Linked DNA regions of Kluyveromyces lactis. The protein of the gene in region 1 interacts with the protein of each later gene in a pairwise test. Links are inferred from orthologs where the notes say so. Each region holds a gene or a part of one and is shown on either strand. Other genes may lie near its edges. The genes, in order: STE50, SHO1, CBK1, ATG17 and STE5.

Region 1 (2,572 bases):
TTTGTTGTGCAAGTAATTTCCTGTGTTTGGTCTCTCCGTACCCTTATCACGTAGTACTCTTAGCTGTTCTGAAGTCAAACTCGGATTCCATTTACCGGTGCTATTCATTGTTCTGTAAAATTGCTTTGATAAGTTTAAAGATAAAATCCTTGAACAACTTCTTGAGAGCATCAAAAGTGTGAAACAATTATGGAGTGGTAAAACTTTAAGAATTATACCTATCAACAAAATAATGAAAGCTGAACAATAGATCCGATGGTGATTACAAATGCGAGTTTCCAGTTGTTTTCTCTTTACGATAGCATGGCTCATCGGCTTCTTGCAGAAAGCTAGTTGAAAAAATCCAAAATTCTATAATTTACAGCTTAAACATCTTTGTCAATAAAGAGCAATCTACAAAACGAAAGAAGGAGGTTGATTACGGAAGCAGCAAACCAGTCCGCCCAGTTTTGACCATTACCACAGCTACTTACCAAATAGAAAATATCATAGACTGTAAACGATATTCAACACTATGTCATCTAATTATCCAACAACAATGTCTTGCACTGATGCATTTGATCAGTTAACAGGATGTTTCAGTTTAGGAGGTCAGTTTAGAAATTACTACAGACATGGCCACATGAACGAATGTCTGAAAGAATTCGAGAAATTTAAGTTTTGTGTGATCCATAGTAAAGATCCCGTGAAGGTACAGGAATGGCACAAAGAGCAGTGGCAGAAGAACCAAGAAAGGAAAGGTACCTCCGATGACATTTGGAAAGAAAGAGTATAAACCATGGCCGTTGGAATGATAGATAGTTGTATATTTTCCACACGTATGTCCTGTAAATAAATGAATCAAAGTTACGATTGCATCGAAATACTTCTAGCGCGAATGTAGTAACAGGATTACCCCGTTCCCCAGGAATCTTATGTCAGAATATTCGCAGGGTTCCTTGTCATTTCTTTATGATTTCCGACAATATGGGAAAATCTATATTTAAACTTAATCGATTATTTGAATAAAACCAAGTGATACCAGAAAGTTGATGAAAGGAGATCCGGGGAACAGCTCAGTCTGTGGAGCATATCATTGAGCCAACAGAAGCATATTGATCAGTGGCTAACCAGTGATTCAATTGTGTTTTTACATCTCTTAAGAACAGGCATAGAAACAAAAACAAATAATGAGCGGTACAAATGAATGGTCAACTGAGGAGGTTTGCAAGAAAGTCAAAGCAGAACTTGGATTAACGGACGGAGATACATTCATCCTAGATAGAATACGAGAGAACAAGATAACTGGATCTACGTTATCTGAAATCACACTTGCCGATTGCAAGGAGTTATGTCCTGATAGCATTAGTGCCGTGAGGCTTAAGACATGCATAAACAAATTTGTTGACACGGAAGAACAAGCACCGGAACAAGAATTAGTGTTGACTATGAAAGGCTTACACCAGACGTTAAATGAAAAGTTACAAGAATTCCAATCTAATTATGCGCAACTCAGATTGGATTTGTTGGAAATCGTGAAGAGGAACAGTGGATCTGGTTCAGGTTCCTCTCAGTCTTCTCAACAACTTCAACATCAACCTTCTTCGCAAGATTACTTCGATAGAGCTCCACACCATTCTTCACACACGCCATCATCACCCAAATACAGATCGAATTCCAATCCAGGGCTGCCACCACAATCTTCAAGCACCAGAAATGTTTCATCGTCACATATTGCCACCACACCCGGATCGGCGAATACTCCAGGCGGAGCTGGAGTATCATCAGCTCCAAGTTCAGAACCTATGAAACAATTACGTGCCTCAAAGGAGGATTCATGTGAAAAGGTTTTAAGAAATGCGATGAAGAGGCACAATTTGAATGAAACGGATTGGAGACAGCATGTTTTAGTGATATGCTATGGAGATCAAGAACGAGTTCTTGATCTCGATGAAAAACCAGTACAGATCTTCAAGTCTTTAAAACAACAAGGCCTGCATCCTGCAATTATGTTAAGACAAAAAGGTGACTTTGAGGAAGTGGGAGAAATGGCAGCAACACCGGGAGGTAGGCTATAATGTTTGTTATCTCCTCCTTCATCAACTGGAAAAAACACTTGGCAAGCAACCATAAACTTTCATTTTAGAGCTTTCATGAACGAATAATTGTATTGATAGATTAATTATCTCTTTCTATAAGAGTTACGTATGTTGTACAAAGACACATTCTCAACTATAGTAAATAACAAATAGAGCACCTTATCAGGAAAGTTTTCTCAAATAATTATGTGTACGGGTTGAACCTTCTTTTGGACTTCATCTCCTTTATCTTTTCTTGATCTTGCTTGAATTTGGCTAGCAACTCATTAATTTCCTGCTTCTTTCTTTCACGGACTTGGAATCTATAGAAGTCCTTCTTTGCCTTCTTGTCAACCATATTAGGCATCTTCTTAGGTTTCTCATGCTTTAATAATGGATTTCTGTTGAATATCTTTTTCCTTATGCTGTTTAATGATTTTGTATTCTTTCCTACTACTAATGTGAAACCATCTTCATCAACAATAGATGATTGTACTTCTTCTTGAGCTTGCTGT
Region 2 (3,056 bases), on another chromosome or scaffold:
CAGATTAACTCGTCCTGAATTGAGCGTCGTTTTCGATGCTGCAATTGCTGTTAAATGTTTTGGGGTCGGAGTTTCATATTTGGTGGTCGTTGGAGATTTGTTACCACAGATAATGTCCACGTTTACAACCCATGGGTGGCTCTTATCACGCCAGTTTCACATCACTGCAGTTACGTTGATCATCGTGACACCGTTGTGTTTCATTAAGAAGTTAGACTCTTTAAGGTACACTTCTTCCATTGCAATTACAGCAGTTGGGTACTTATGCGTATTAGTTGTCTTCCATTTTGCCGTTCCAAATAGCGAAATCGACCATTTAAGAGGCCATGTTAGCATCTGGAAACCCAGTGATGTGGATTCATCCATGCTAAGCAGTTTTCCAATTTTCGTTTTCGCGTATACTTGCCATCACAACATGTTTTCCATCATCAATGAACAATCAGACAAATCTTTAGACAGTATAACGAAATTGATTAGGATTGCCATTACGCTAGCAATGTCTTTGTACATTTCCATTGGAGCGCTAGGTTATTGCACCTTCGGTGATCATATTACTGGTAACATTATCACCTTATACCCAAACTCCATTTCCAGCACCATCGGTAGAATAGCTATAGCATTGTTAGTGATCCTTGCCTTCCCGCTACAATGTCATCCAGCTAGAGCATCTGTCAATCATATCTTACATTACTTCTCCAAGGGGAACACCCATCCCCCAATGACAACCACAAGTGCAGAACAAAACAGTCTATTACGGGACTCTGAACTCGAATCTAGCGAACAGTTAACCTACGAATGCGAAGACGAATTAATTGAAGAAAACAGCGCTAATCAGCCTCCAGTAGTAACGTTAGAAGGCCCTAGATTCATCTTTATCACGTCTGGAATCCTATTATTTTCGTACATCCTCGCTATGAGTGTTACGTCGCTAGCAAACGTTTTGTCAATAGTAGGAGCAACCGGATCCACTTCTATATCCTTCATCTTACCTGGAATATTTGGCTACAAGTTAATCGCATCGGAGTACGCCAAATCCGTTGTACCACCAGCAAAAGAACGAATCTTGAGAATTATCTCATTGTTACTTGCTATTTGGGGATTCATCGTCATGATAACTTCACTAAGTGCTACCATATTTCTACATGCGACACATTGAGGGTACAGGATAAACAGGGTACTAGAGACTAACCATTGATACTGCTACCAATTGTACTCCCGATTGACACTCTAAATAAGCGGCCCGCGTATTCCTAGCGAGCCTTTGGTTGCTGCCTGTCACATGATCAAAAAATAACTCATCTCTCATTGTAGACAGACACCAAAAAAAATGATAAATGTATACCGTATATACATAAATATAAAAAGTAATCAATACGAACATACTTGAACTTGAAGCAAGTTTATTTCAATTTTAGTTGTTGTGTTGTCACAAGTGTTCCAATAGTCCAGCGAGGCAAGGGAATATCTGCAAACAGAGAGATGGCGTTGATTAAAGCAAGTCAAGCCCGTGCTGTAAGGGAGAATCCGCATGTATCTCATCAATTTAACATCTCGTCATTTTTGGGCGATCCTTTTGCCATAGGCACACTTAGTATTGCATTGATCTCATGGATCATTGCATTGGCGGGATCCATTGCTGTTGCAGCATCTACGTCTCCATTCCCAAGATTTTCTTGGTGGACTATAGTTTACGAGATACTACTAATGATTACGCTTTTTATCGTGTACTGTTTGGATTTAGTTGACTACTATAGAATGTTCATTACTTGTGCTGTTGGTATCGCATTCGTATATACTTCGAATAGTACTAACAGTATTGTGTACTATGAAGGGTCCAAGAGTGGTGCAGCAGCAGCAGGATTTATCTTGTTATCCATGATCAATTTGGTGTGGGTGATTTATTTTGGTGGAGATAATGCATCTCCAACCAATAGATGGATCGATTCGTTCTCACTACGCGGAATTCGTCCTTCGGTGCTAGAGACATCCATGGCTATTGCCAGATCGCAGAGACTGCCGGTCAAACCTTCTTACCCATACCAATACCAGGAAGACTTGCGTTCAGCATCTCTGCCTGATGTCCACCACGATGACGAAGGTGAGGGCCACAGTGGCAACATGTATGCGCCAGAACTTCAATCGTCTACAAAGTATGTGTCGTCTACAGTGCTGAACGGATTTGAAAATACAGATCATTCCTCTTCGAAACCAAACCTTGATGTTAATGCGCAAAATACTGCTACACTGAATACACAGGCCACTGGCACTTTCATCACAGATACCACCAATGCCAACACAGATACTACCATGGGAGACACATTAGGCCTATACAGTGACATTGGTGAAGAATTAAACAGTTTCCCATACACTGCAGAGGCTTTATATACCTATCAAGCGGACCAAACTGACGCGTATGAAATATCCTTCGAACAGGGCGAAATTCTCAGGGTTGGTGATATCGAGGGTAGATGGTGGAAAGCCAAGAAGTCAAACGGGGAAACAGGGATTATCCCAAGTAATTACGTTAAGCTTTTGGATGGGAAATCACACTGATTTTATTACTGCCTCCCATCAGTTTGTATCATTAAACATTTGATTTGTGTATCGTCTTTTATATTATATTATTTCCACAGTTTGCAATAACAACCGGCTTATCAACCTTATTCGCGAAAAATTCAAGTGCTTTTATCAACACAGTTACTGAATTCTTCATTAACACGCAAATACTTGCTTCGAATGAATCATGCTATTTAATGAATATGCTATTATTTATAATTATACTGCTTGCAAATCGCTTCAGGTGCTGGTAGTATAATAAAGTCTTCATCTCGAGTAAGAACTTCAAACACATCAATCTTAATAAAATGGGGACCATCCCATGTAAATTGTCGCTAAATTTTGTTTGTCAGTAGCACTGGACAAAAGCTCCTGAACAATTGCTTCAACGCTCAAACCGTCTCCATATAACTTACTTTCAACTCCCTTTAGTGCTCTTATGGATTCATCATTATTATTATCTTCTTCTAAAAGCTCGCTGAAATCTGCATCGGAAACAC
Region 3 (4,023 bases), on another chromosome or scaffold:
GTTTGAAGTTTAGTACCAAGTGAACATGAAATGAGCTATGGTTATTTAACAGAATACAGCATTTCAGAGTGAATCAATGAGAAAACACCAACCGTATTGGAAATTCAGATATTGCATCGACAAGGGGGGAGAGTTCATTTGAGTTGGTGAACTATATCAAAAGATCAGTATTTTGGTCGAAGTATGGACGATTCACTAGCATAAAACCCTGTTCACGCTGGAGGAAGTAATTTGGGTTATTTGTTGTCCCTATGTTTCTTAATTCGGTGTAGTCGAGACAACCTCAGAGAATTGTATATCAGTGAAGTCAACGCTACACTGACTGAACATAATTAACAGGAACTCAGTCGTATTAAACAACTGGGGTTCAGATAGCCTGGACCTCCCTATACAATAAGAAGAAGAGAATAGAATTCCTGCAATCAAAATAAGCTGGATGAAGCTAAAGAATATTTTTTTACTAACATCGACATGTATCACTATCTTATGATATGTTAATTTCTAACAGTTAACGTTCCAAAGACCAGAAAGACTTACTGTAAGGGTAAGGAGTGCCGTAAGCACGCCCAACACAAGGTTACCCAATACAAGGCTGGTAAGGCTTCCTTGTACGCTCAAGGTAAGAGAAGATATGACCGTAAACAATCTGGTTTCGGTGGTCAAACCAAGCAAATTTTCCACAAGAAAGCTAAGACTACCAAGAAGGTCGTTTTGAGATTGGAATGTATGTCCTGTAAGACCAAGACCCAATTGGCTTTGAAGAGATGTAAGCACTTCGAATTGGGTGGTGAAAAGAAGCAAAAGGGTCAAGCTTTGCAATTCTGAGATTATCTTTTGGAAGACCAATTTGTTACCATTTGTCAATTTTTTAACTTTTCTATAAGTATTACGAATTCACATATACTCTTTCATCACATTTATAATCTCATATCTGTCATTTGTATAGTTTAGTCTCCACTGGGTACTTCTTCACTTTGCGATTTGTATTATACGTATTCTAAGTATAATTTTCAGCAGAACGCATAAGAGTTTATTAACAAGAATTGTTTACAAAGAATAGCGTAGGACTCAGGCTACATTATTGATCCTGCAGGCAGTAAAGCTTACATATGACCTTAGCTAATATAACATGTACATACTCACCATGTATACCACTTTTTTCATTCCATTGTCTAAAATATGTTTTCAATATTTGCCATAATCGCCAATTTCATTGGAAAAACAAAAACATCGAATCAAACTTGTTTTAGAAAACAACGAACATGAAACTATACTGTTAACGTTTAGAGACATATTTCACGTCAACAAGGCCGTTTGGACGTCGCTACTTCAGCAACAACACGTAATGTACGGTGGATATTCGAATCAGAACTACTATCAACAGCCTTCTGGTCGTCCAAACGATTTTCAGCAACAGGGAAACATGCCCTTTTCGGAACCTTCTCAGCCCATGTTCAGCACCAATTATATGAAACAACAAGGATCACAGCCGTCTTTACAAGACCGTCTGACCCAACAGCAATCGCAACCTCAGTCGCATAATAATCAATATTATCCGAATGGAGGGTTTACTGATGTGCCCAACTTGAATTATCCAGCGACTCCACCACCAACTCAAAGCATTTATTCACATAACAACAACTCTAATTCGAAGGTATATCAATCCGCTCAGCATACATCTCCCGGTCAATATTCTGTTGCCAGTGAGTCCGGTTTGTACATCCCGCCACCACTGCAGCAACAGCAGAATGGTCAACAGAGTCCTGTGAGATCGGTACATCAACAGACACAGCAAACACCGCCAACATTTACTCAGCAACAAAGCTCTTCCCAACCTCAGTCACCTCAACACAATACGTATCATGCACAGCAGCAGCAGCAGCAGCAGCAGCAGCAACAACAAACTCAACAGGCCCAGCAGCAAGGACAACGACAAACTCAGCAACAGTCTCAGCAGCAAGCTCAACAACAGAATGGATCGGCGAATAATTACATGTATTTTGAGAGAAGACCTGACCTATTGACCAAAACTACCCAAGACAAAGCAGCTGCTGTTAAGCTCAAGATAGAGAACTTTTATCAGAGTAGTGTTGGTTATGCTATTGAAAGAAATCAAAGAAGATTGGAACTGGAATCCGAATTGGCATCCCAGGACTGGTCCGAGGAACGTAAGAATAGACAGCTTGCTTCTTTAGGTAAAAAGGAGTCACAATTTTTGAGACTACGTAGAACGAGATTATCGTTGGACGACTTCAATTCAGTGAAAGTCATCGGTAAAGGTGCCTTTGGTGAAGTTAGATTGGTACAAAAGAAAGACACAGGCAAGATATATGCTATGAAAACATTGCTGAAATCGGAAATGTACAACAAAGATCAGTTAGCTCACGTAAAGGCTGAAAGGGATGTTCTAGCGGGAAGTGATTCTCCGTGGGTTGTTTCATTGTATTATTCCTTTCAAGATTCACAATATTTGTATTTAATTATGGAGTTTTTGCCGGGTGGTGACTTGATGACCATGTTAATCAGATGGCAAATTTTCACAGAAGATGTGACAAGATTCTACATGGCAGAATGTATACTTGCTATCGAGGTCATTCATAAATTGGGCTTTATTCACAGAGATATTAAACCAGATAATATCTTGATAGATATTAGAGGCCACATTAAACTATCAGATTTTGGTTTGAGTACGGGGTTCCATAAGACTCACGATTCAAGTTACTACAAAAAGTTATTACAAGAGGACGAGGCAAAGAAACAACAGCAACAACAACAGCAACAACAGCAATTAAATCTACAAAAACCTCAGCTCCCAAACGAAACAAACAATGGTAATAGAAATACAATGTTGGTTGACGCCATTCATTTAACCATGACAAATAGACAACAAATGCAAACTTGGAGAAAGTCGCGTAGACTAATGGCATACTCTACTGTTGGTACTCCGGATTATATTGCACCTGAAATTTTCCTGTACCAAGGTTATGGTCAGGAATGTGATTGGTGGTCATTAGGAGCTATTATGTACGAGTGTCTAATTGGTTGGCCTCCATTTTGCTCTGAAACACCACAAGAAACGTATCGTAAGATCATGAATTTCGAACAAACTTTGCAATTCCCCGATGATATTCATATTTCTTATGAAGCTGAAGATCTAATCAGAAGATTGTTAACTCACTCTGAAAATCGTCTAGGTAGACATGGTGGTGCCGATGAAATTAAGGCACATCCTTTCTTCAGTGGTGTTGATTGGAACACTATCAGGCAAGTGGAAGCTCCTTATATTCCTAAGTTGTCCAGTGTCACAGATACTAGGTTCTTCCCAACTGATGAATTAGAAAATGTCCCTGATTCACCAGCAATGGCACAAGCTGCAAGACAAAGAGAACAGATGATGACACAGCAACAAGGGGTTCCTCAATCCAATGCAAAGGAAGATTTACCATTCATCGGGTACACGTACTCTAGGTTTGATTATCTAACTAGAAAGAATGCTCTATAGTAACGCTCTCTGTACATAACCGCGACGGAAGTTCCTAAATATAATAAAATAAACGAAAGTAAGAAATACTACCAAGAATTATAAACATTACGGTCATTAAAGTGGAGAAAATGTAGATACAGCTGATTCCCAATAGATCATAATCAAATTGACTCAATATCAGGCGCCCAGCAACGTACTTGGTATTAAATCTACGCTTCAACACAAATTATTAAAACCAGGAAATAGTGAACAACACATAACCCGGTCCCCGCGCAGAACGAAATCTTACACAGGGATAACCGTGGAGCGATAATATTGATGTTGATCTTTTAGGAAACAAATAGTAACTAAGGTTAAACTAAAATAGTTCTAATGTATTTAATCATTGAAAGGCCTATAAGTGGAAACGAAGAAATATGTATCTGATTTTATATACTGGCAAAAAAAATTTCATGTTAGTGTGAATGATCTCCTTACTCCGGGTAACGGAGTTTATCAAAGTGTTTTCCGTCCAATATAGATTCAAACCCTAATGAGGG
Region 4 (3,060 bases), on another chromosome or scaffold:
TAATGTAGCGGGAAAGGAAGTGTTCCCTGCAGCTAATAAAGTCAATAATAGGTAAATACTGAACGGTTATTTGACGTAGCATCCTCGAATATCCGGTATTTGAATCTAACCAATAACATAAGGGTTGATACACCAACCTATAAATGCTGCTTTGTGTTTCGTTCAAAATATATCCAGATTCCATTCTATATGAAAGAAACCTTATTGCTGCCCTCAAATGGTTCAACTTTTCGACCTGCATATCTGCCGTATTAATTCCACGATTAAGCTCTTTGAGCAAGAACATGGTACAGAGCTTATCAAGTATGTCATCGTCATTTATTTCTAGGCATTCAGTAATCTGATCTTCAAGACTTGGTTGCGAAAGTTGTTTTTCCTTGACTTTTTCTAAAACACTTTGTAGCCTTTCCTCTTGGTGTACTTTGCGCTCGTCATCTAGTTGAGCTTTTTCCAAGCCAACTTGTATTCTATCTATGTCCGAATGAAGCTGCAGAAGCTTATTAGCAATTTCATTCAAAGAGGAAATCTCTTCTTCATGTAATTCAGAACCATTGATTGTTCTTGTCACCGTATCAGGTAGTTCTATTTTTAATTCCGCAAGGAGACTTATATTTTGAATCAATTTCTCAAGCTGGGTGGCACGACGAGTCTTAAACTCCACTGTTTTCTTTTTATTTGAACTTTCATCTGATGATGCTGAAGTATTACTATAGTTGGAGTCATCTCTATCATGTACTGCACTTAACATCCCTAATCCGACACCTTTAGGACGAGTGACTGTTTCGATTGGGTTCACTATACCTTTCCCATCTCGTCCTAAACCTTCACCTTGTTTGTAACCCATTTTTGATAAAAGCTTGGCACCCATACCATAGGTCTTTAACATCTGGTCGCTTTTCAATCCATCATTGGAGTTGGCTTGTCGTACCGGTTCATAGTCTTCTTCTTCTTTTTGTTCTTCATTGTCATCGCTATATCCATATGGATCGGTAAATACCATACTATTCATTGTCATACTGATCTTTCTTCTTTTGAACTGATCATCGTCACTGATATGTTCTGACATCTATACTGAATCACTGGAGTAGTAATAGCTGACTTGGAGTGACTGATACTCCTTTCAATCTTTACTCCGATTAATAGGTATTTATTCATACTTTGAAAAGATTTAAAGGTTTGAAGTTCAGTCTTCGAAGTGAAATTGACCGTTTAAGGGTTTCAAATTGGAAACGTTGAAGAGATGAAGATCTTTCGGTTGATCTGAACTGCGTCTACAAGAAATGAGTGATGCTGCAACTACTATACCCAGTGATGAGATAGATAAATTGTGGAATAAGGCGAGAAACCAGCTTGTGGAAGCTCAAGTCGAATGTGAAGAATCATTAAAAATCCTCTCTAAAGTGCGAACTGAAATGGACAGCTCTCAAAAGTCCAGATTTAAACTTAAATTTATACTTAATTGTTTGGTGAACCAGGTTGAGTTCTTCAAGAATATCATGCTCGAGAAATGTATTTCTACAGAGTTGATTGACAATGAATGGTCAAAGCTGGTTTTAGTCGAGATAGTCAATGACGTGAGTTATTGGCAAAACGAGATAACAACAAAGATGAAGATCTTGCAGGGTACAAAATACGACTTGACTGACGATCACAGTAGCCTTTCAGATTTCATATGCATGGATCACGTAGACATACTACAACAAAAAATCGATGAGATTCCTATTATAAAACAACAAGTGACAAACATACGACAACACTACAAATCGATAAAAGATCGAATAGAAAACCAACTAGTGGCTGTAAAGTTGAAAAAACTCAGAACTTACTTTGATTCACATTTCAGCAGGGATAGCAAAAATAATCTATTCAAATTGTTGGAAAGTGATTATGTCACTGAATTGAACGAATTTGAGAATGAACTTGCCGATTTCTTGAGATCAATCACTGATCATTTCGACAAATGCACGATATTGAAGGAACAGCAGATTCCACTACCAGATTTGAAGGAACTTTTCCAGATTGTAAAGAAAGACGATACACAGTTAGAAAATATAAGGGAATTAGTATTCGAAACGGGACTTGAAGTGAAAGCTTTCTCAAAGAAAGTCAATGAAACAATAAGTGAAATAATGGACAAAATTGGTGGATTCCATCTGCTGGCTTCCAAGATTGTGACAGAGTTAGAAAAATGTGAGGAATACTTATCTATCTTCCAAAAGATTGCTAATTTAGTATTCGTTTATAAGGAATCTTGCATAAAAAAGATTGAACAAGTGCAACAACTCTGTGAGTTTTACGATAAGTTCAAATTAGGGTATAAAAACCTTCTACGAGAAAGAGACAGACGGAAAGCCACTGCGTTACAAATGGAGAAAATATTAAAGGAATGTCAGGAGAAACTACAGGCACTGAGTGATGCTGACTTGGACCAACGCCAGCAATTTTTACTTGAAAATGGTGACTATCTTCCCGAAAACATCTGGCCAGGTTATATCGACGATATGGAATCGATGTATAGTTTCGAATATAGCATACATAATGTACCGAATTGACGGTATTGTGTTATTATTGATACATAAGTATACATATTTACAGGTATAAATTATCTTTTACATCGTTATGGTTAACATTACTTTCTGTGGTTCAAAAATTGCAAGGTATCATTTATAATTTTTCTCAAGATCGACGAACCTTTCAAAGACATCATCGATAGTTAGTAAATCCACTTTCTTCGACTCCCTGGTTCTAATCGCCACCTTGCCTGCTTCAACTTCTTTGTCACCAATCATTATAATATAAGAATAATGCTTCTTGATGGCTTCTCTAATTCTTTTACTTACAGATTCATCTCTTGCATCCATATCAACAGAGAAATGGAAGCTGTTGAGTGGAATTGGGCTTTTTGGATCACTATTTTCACCACGTAATGAGTTGACTGTCTTGAAAGCCAATTCCATTATCTTCTCATCTTCAGTCTTCACTGGGATGACCATACATTGGTTTGGATTCAACCAAAACGGCCATTTACCTTTGCTTGAATCAATTAAAATGGCCATGAAT
Region 5 (4,236 bases), on another chromosome or scaffold:
TTAAAGATGCACTTATTGGAATTGGGTATCGCCACGGAAGATGAAATTAAGGCTTACGACAAGGCTGCTAGAAAGTACGTCGATGAGCAAGTCGAATTAGCTGATGCTGCCCCAGCTCCAGAAGCTAAGATGTCCATCTTGTTCGAGGATGTCTACGTTCCAGGTTCTGAAACTCCAACCCTAAGAGGTAGATTGCAAGAAGATACTTGGGATTTTGCTAAGAAGAGCTTTGCTTTCAGAGATTAGAGCAAGAACGAATTAGGTAATTGAACGTTAAAGTTAACTTCTTTGCGTTTATCCTTTTTTTTATTCCCATCTCTCTACTCTTCCCTTTTCGAAAGACAACTATATTCCTATAAACTGCCCTTTCACAATATTATGCTATAAGGTTCACAAGATGATACTATTTGTATAGTGCATCTGCTATTTTCCACCAATCAATATTAAAGTACCAAAATCATAAAAAAACACCTTTTAGATACAAGTGTTTTTTATTCATTTCATTCACGGTATGGTTTCTATTCAGATAACTGTTTTTTTCGGTTTTAAAACATGAATGTTCATCTGTGACTTCTCATTCTCTCTCTCTCCATGAGACTTCGTTGATGCTTATTCTCAATGCCGAGAACATTATCTGGTTACTGATGCCTGCCATTACGGATTACCTGCGTTTTAATTTCTTCCCAAACAAAACAACGATACAGAATTTTCTCATTACTCCCAAAAACTACCTCAATAATTCGTGCTACAATCTTCTTTTCTTACGTTGATCTTGCGCCTGTTATAAACATGATTTATTGTGAACTAGGTTTTGTAAACTAATCTGACATTGTTCTTCACCATAAATTGTCTCTCCCCTTTTTGGTTGCTACGATACAATGTCGTCAAATGCGAAGCCGCATATTAGACAGATGAAAAGTTACAATACCTTGTCCATCATTGAATCATCTACTCACCTTTCTAATGACTGATCTCACGACGACTTACCCCAATAATCATCTCATCTCTATTTACTAGACTTACATCTAGTCTATATATAAATTGTATTTACTGAATTAAAGTATCATAGATATACTAGAGACAGTTTTGTCACCCTGGTTCCAGAGTCACTGCAGGACCCTACTCATCGACTTCCTAAAATGTACACTTTGTCCTGATTTCATCACTATCTCTGTTTTCATTTAAGGGAAGAAAATTATTCATTACTTAAGACCGTTGATGTTTAAATCTGAAACAACCTCAAAATGGCATCATGATGAAAGGGGAAAATATAGTGATTGCAGATTCCGGGAGATTTGAGATTCTTTTAGTGAATTCTCCAAAGTAGCTACCATGATATCGTTACTTATGTGCTAATCTATCAATTGAATAACTGAACAATTATTGTTCAAAGTATTAAGAATACATCCAAAAGTCTTCAAACTTTAAGGAATTTAAGAGTAACACTACGGCTGACTAGAGCATATTAACTATTACTTTGCTAGAAATGTCTAGAGGTAATACATCATCAATGAATTCTCAGGATATCTTATTTCAATTGACTAATGTGGGATCCTCCCCGGTGCCTAAACTGGATACAGGATCCACTTCAGGGTCCAATACCTCATCGCCAAGAAGATGGACAGAGCTTTTTTCTAAGAAGAGAGTGAAGACGCCTTCAGTTGGTACTCCATCGACTGCATCATCCATGATATCTTCCTTCTATGATAGTTCTCCCATAAGACCAGTGTCAAAACAGCATCCTAAGCACCTCCTGGTAGATCCGATCATGCCGCCTCCACCCATAATGCTCTCTCCCATTGGACATGAGACCTTAGGAAAGAAGCCCACTCGAAAAAATGGTAATAAGTCTTGGAAAAATGAGAGATGTTGCATATGCGGAGATCTTTGTTCGTTCAAGGGTTCTAATGAGAAGGTAATCCCTTTGGAGTGTAACCATATGTGTCATGAAGATTGTTTAATGGTGAGTTTACGACCTCTTCCTCATAAATCAAACCTGTATGATGCCTTGCCGAAATGCGACATCTGTAGTATGTCATGCATACCGGGACAGGAAGATATGCGACAGAAGGTAAGGTCACACTTGTTAACCTTACCTGATGACGGTGAAAGTGTTGGACTCGAACCGTATAATCCTCAAGAAAACTACGAGCGGATAAAATTGTGCGATGCAGACCTCTTACCCAAGCACTCAGGTAATGATGAAACGTTTCCACATTTGCAGACTACTAGAACAACTGCAAGAAATAACGATATCAGGTTATCTTTTGCATTTTCTTTGAAACCAGGGAAAACGGTTACTCCATCTCTTCGAGATTCCATCCGTTTGCATAGGAGTCGCAGTATAAAAAGAAGATCCAACTTCAGAGGAAGTACGGTTTCTGGCTTGTCGTCCATCGTATCATCTTCCTCGAAAGATGACTGTCAACTGCCTTCTTTGCACGTTCAAAGGCAGTATTTCATTCAAGCGTTTTTGAATAGTTTTAGCGAAGTCAAGCCTTGGGAAATTGATGCTAAATATGGACTCTTACGATTGATAGATAATTTTTTGATATCATTAGATGGCATAAATTTCCAACACCAGGTTTGCTACCTATTTTCGGAATATTTACTAGTATGTCGACCATCTCCTGCTACTTCGGCAAATGTTCTTCAATTCTCGAGCTACCGTTGTTTCCAATTGAATAATCCTCCTGAACTAGATTTATTAGATGCAACTACTCTTGAATCAAAATCTCGTTCTGGGGAAAGAATTCTTATTAAACCTTATGGGTTGGATACAAAAGCTTTAGAAAAATGGATAACAGCTCTATTTGATCTTACTTTGCCGTTCGGAAATTATGATTTCACTTCGATCAAGGTTCCCGAATTTGTGGCTTGCATTCCTAGCACCAATGATACAGGTACAATCATTGTCAGACGACAGAGTACCTTAAATGAAACCCTTATCCCTAAAACAATTCGAGATTCATCCGTGTTAACCTCAATATCATCCATTTTGTCCATCAAAAGAGCAACACCAAATGAATTAAATTTGGTGTTGCAATTAGATAAAAGAAAGACTAATGAAGATAATATCGTCTCGATCAAGAACGTCATTTTAGCTTTGACTTGGAAGTTTTCTACTTTTAACTGCTGTATTGTTGATGTTGAAGGAATGGTCATCAATTGCGGAACTGCTAACGATGTTCTCAATTCGTTGGCTGGTCCGATAAAAAGTAATGGTAATCAACCATTCTCTCCAGATCTTTTACACCAATTATGGTATCGGCAAAAACAGAAAATATGCAAAAATGTTGGGGTTGTTGTTTTATCAAACTCATCCATGGAGAATGGTAAATCATGTCTTTTTAGCGATTATCGAATATTCGCTGATGCAGGCAAACGGCATCCAAATGAATTAAAAATAAAAGTAGGCTTTCTGAATGTAGATTATAGTGATAATATCAAAGAACTCGTTGAAATTCAGGACTGGAACGAATTGCTTGAAGCTGTTGCCTATAGTTTTAATTTGAGCTTTGATGATGATTTAGATAGTAGTGACTGTGTCAGTACCTCCTCTAGTGATTTTGAAGTGGATTCAGTTCCAGATAAGAATAGAACATTCCGGCTTTCATCACCTATATCCTGGGAAAATCACGTACAGGCTGACTTGACAGGATCTATGAATGGTATTAGTGAATCTATTGAAGACCGGCAATCAAATCATATGTACGACTATTTATAACATTTTCACTCTCTCTAATTCATCATATATTTTTACCATCCACAAATCTCTCTCTTGCCTGGATCGACACATAAAAATCATCGATTTTCCCGAGACTCCAAGTTTATCAACAACGTGAAATTTTGAAGAGTCCGGAGTTTCTGGTGTTATTACTGAACTTAACATTATCCTTTTGTTTGGAAACCACATAACAAAAGTCCTACTACTCTCTTCATCCATGCTTTTCCATCCGTCAGCATACACTCTTGAGAGACTATGAGAACCTGGATTAATAGAGTTAAAGTCTTTGTCTCGGTCCAAGAGTTCCTGTTCACTGAGGGCACCTGAATATAGATAGCATTTCTCTATCGGAATCGTTAAAAAATGTCTATACTTTGTCGAATCTTTCGCGTAGCCCCTTATGGATCTATCGAAACAGTGGTACAACATTATAAACCCAGGAATCAACACCATGAAATGCTTGTTGAATACTGAATGTTTTCTGGATTTATGATAAATTAATCCTTGGT

Evidence for each region.
Region 2: the proteins of STE50 (region 1) and SHO1 interact in binary tests that used the Saccharomyces cerevisiae proteins (3 or more experiments, as listed by UniProt). The link is inferred for Kluyveromyces lactis from reciprocal best matches to the Saccharomyces cerevisiae genes STE50 and SHO1.
Region 3: the proteins of STE50 (region 1) and CBK1 interact in a two-hybrid assay, tested with the Saccharomyces cerevisiae proteins (2 studies listed by BioGRID). The link is inferred for Kluyveromyces lactis from reciprocal best matches to the Saccharomyces cerevisiae genes STE50 and CBK1.
Region 4: the proteins of STE50 (region 1) and ATG17 interact in a two-hybrid assay, tested with the Saccharomyces cerevisiae proteins (2 studies listed by BioGRID). The link is inferred for Kluyveromyces lactis from reciprocal best matches to the Saccharomyces cerevisiae genes STE50 and ATG17.
Region 5: the proteins of STE50 (region 1) and STE5 interact in a two-hybrid assay, tested with the Saccharomyces cerevisiae proteins (2 studies listed by BioGRID). The link is inferred for Kluyveromyces lactis from reciprocal best matches to the Saccharomyces cerevisiae genes STE50 and STE5.

The regions. Positions count from the first base shown.
Region 1 is NC_006039.1:104,643-107,214, forward strand, and holds STE50 (Ste50p), read left to right. Parts: upstream 1-1,169; coding exon 1,170-2,057; downstream 2,058-2,572. Other genes in the region: MXR2 (peptide-methionine (R)-S-oxide reductase), read right to left, coding at 1-312; EMI1 (Emi1p), read left to right, coding at 515-775; RRP7 (Rrp7p), read right to left, coding at 2,263-2,572.
Region 2 is NC_006041.1:628,298-631,353, forward strand, and holds SHO1 (osmosensor SHO1), read left to right. Parts: upstream 1-1,479; coding exon 1,480-2,553; downstream 2,554-3,056. Other genes in the region: AVT5 (amino acid transporter), read left to right, coding at 1-1,156; DNA-binding protein kinase TEL1, read right to left, coding at 2,857-3,056. UniProt on the Saccharomyces cerevisiae protein: Plasma membrane osmosensor that activates the high osmolarity glycerol (HOG) MAPK signaling pathway in response to high osmolarity.
Region 3 is NC_006040.1:668,574-672,596, reverse strand, and holds CBK1 (serine/threonine protein kinase CBK1), read left to right. Parts: upstream 1-1,345; coding exon 1,346-3,502; downstream 3,503-4,023. Other genes in the region: RPL42A (60S ribosomal protein eL42), read left to right, coding at 509-825. UniProt on the Saccharomyces cerevisiae protein: Protein kinase that seems to play a role in the regulation of cell morphogenesis and proliferation.
Region 4 is NC_006040.1:232,101-235,160, forward strand, and holds ATG17 (protein kinase regulatory subunit ATG17), read left to right. Parts: upstream 1-1,280; coding exon 1,281-2,552; downstream 2,553-3,060. Other genes in the region: mRNA splicing protein SPP382, read right to left, coding at 1-1,066; threonine--tRNA ligase MST1, read right to left, coding at 2,661-3,060. UniProt on the Saccharomyces cerevisiae protein: Autophagy-specific protein that functions with ATG13, ATG29, and CIS1/ATG31 in response to autophagy-inducing signals as a scaffold to recruit other ATG proteins to organize pre-autophagosomal structure (PAS) formation.
Region 5 is NC_006042.1:1,102,422-1,106,657, forward strand, and holds STE5 (Ste5p), read left to right. Parts: upstream 1-1,486; coding exon 1,487-3,727; downstream 3,728-4,236. Other genes in the region: PDA1 (pyruvate dehydrogenase (acetyl-transferring) subunit E1 alpha), read left to right, coding at 1-246; SPO71 (Spo71p), read right to left, coding at 3,722-4,236. UniProt on the Saccharomyces cerevisiae protein: Component of the pheromone signal transduction pathway. It mediates pheromone signals acting between STE20 and STE11. It is absolutely required for pheromone-induced transcription of FUS1. May play a role in cell-cycle arrest in response to pheromone.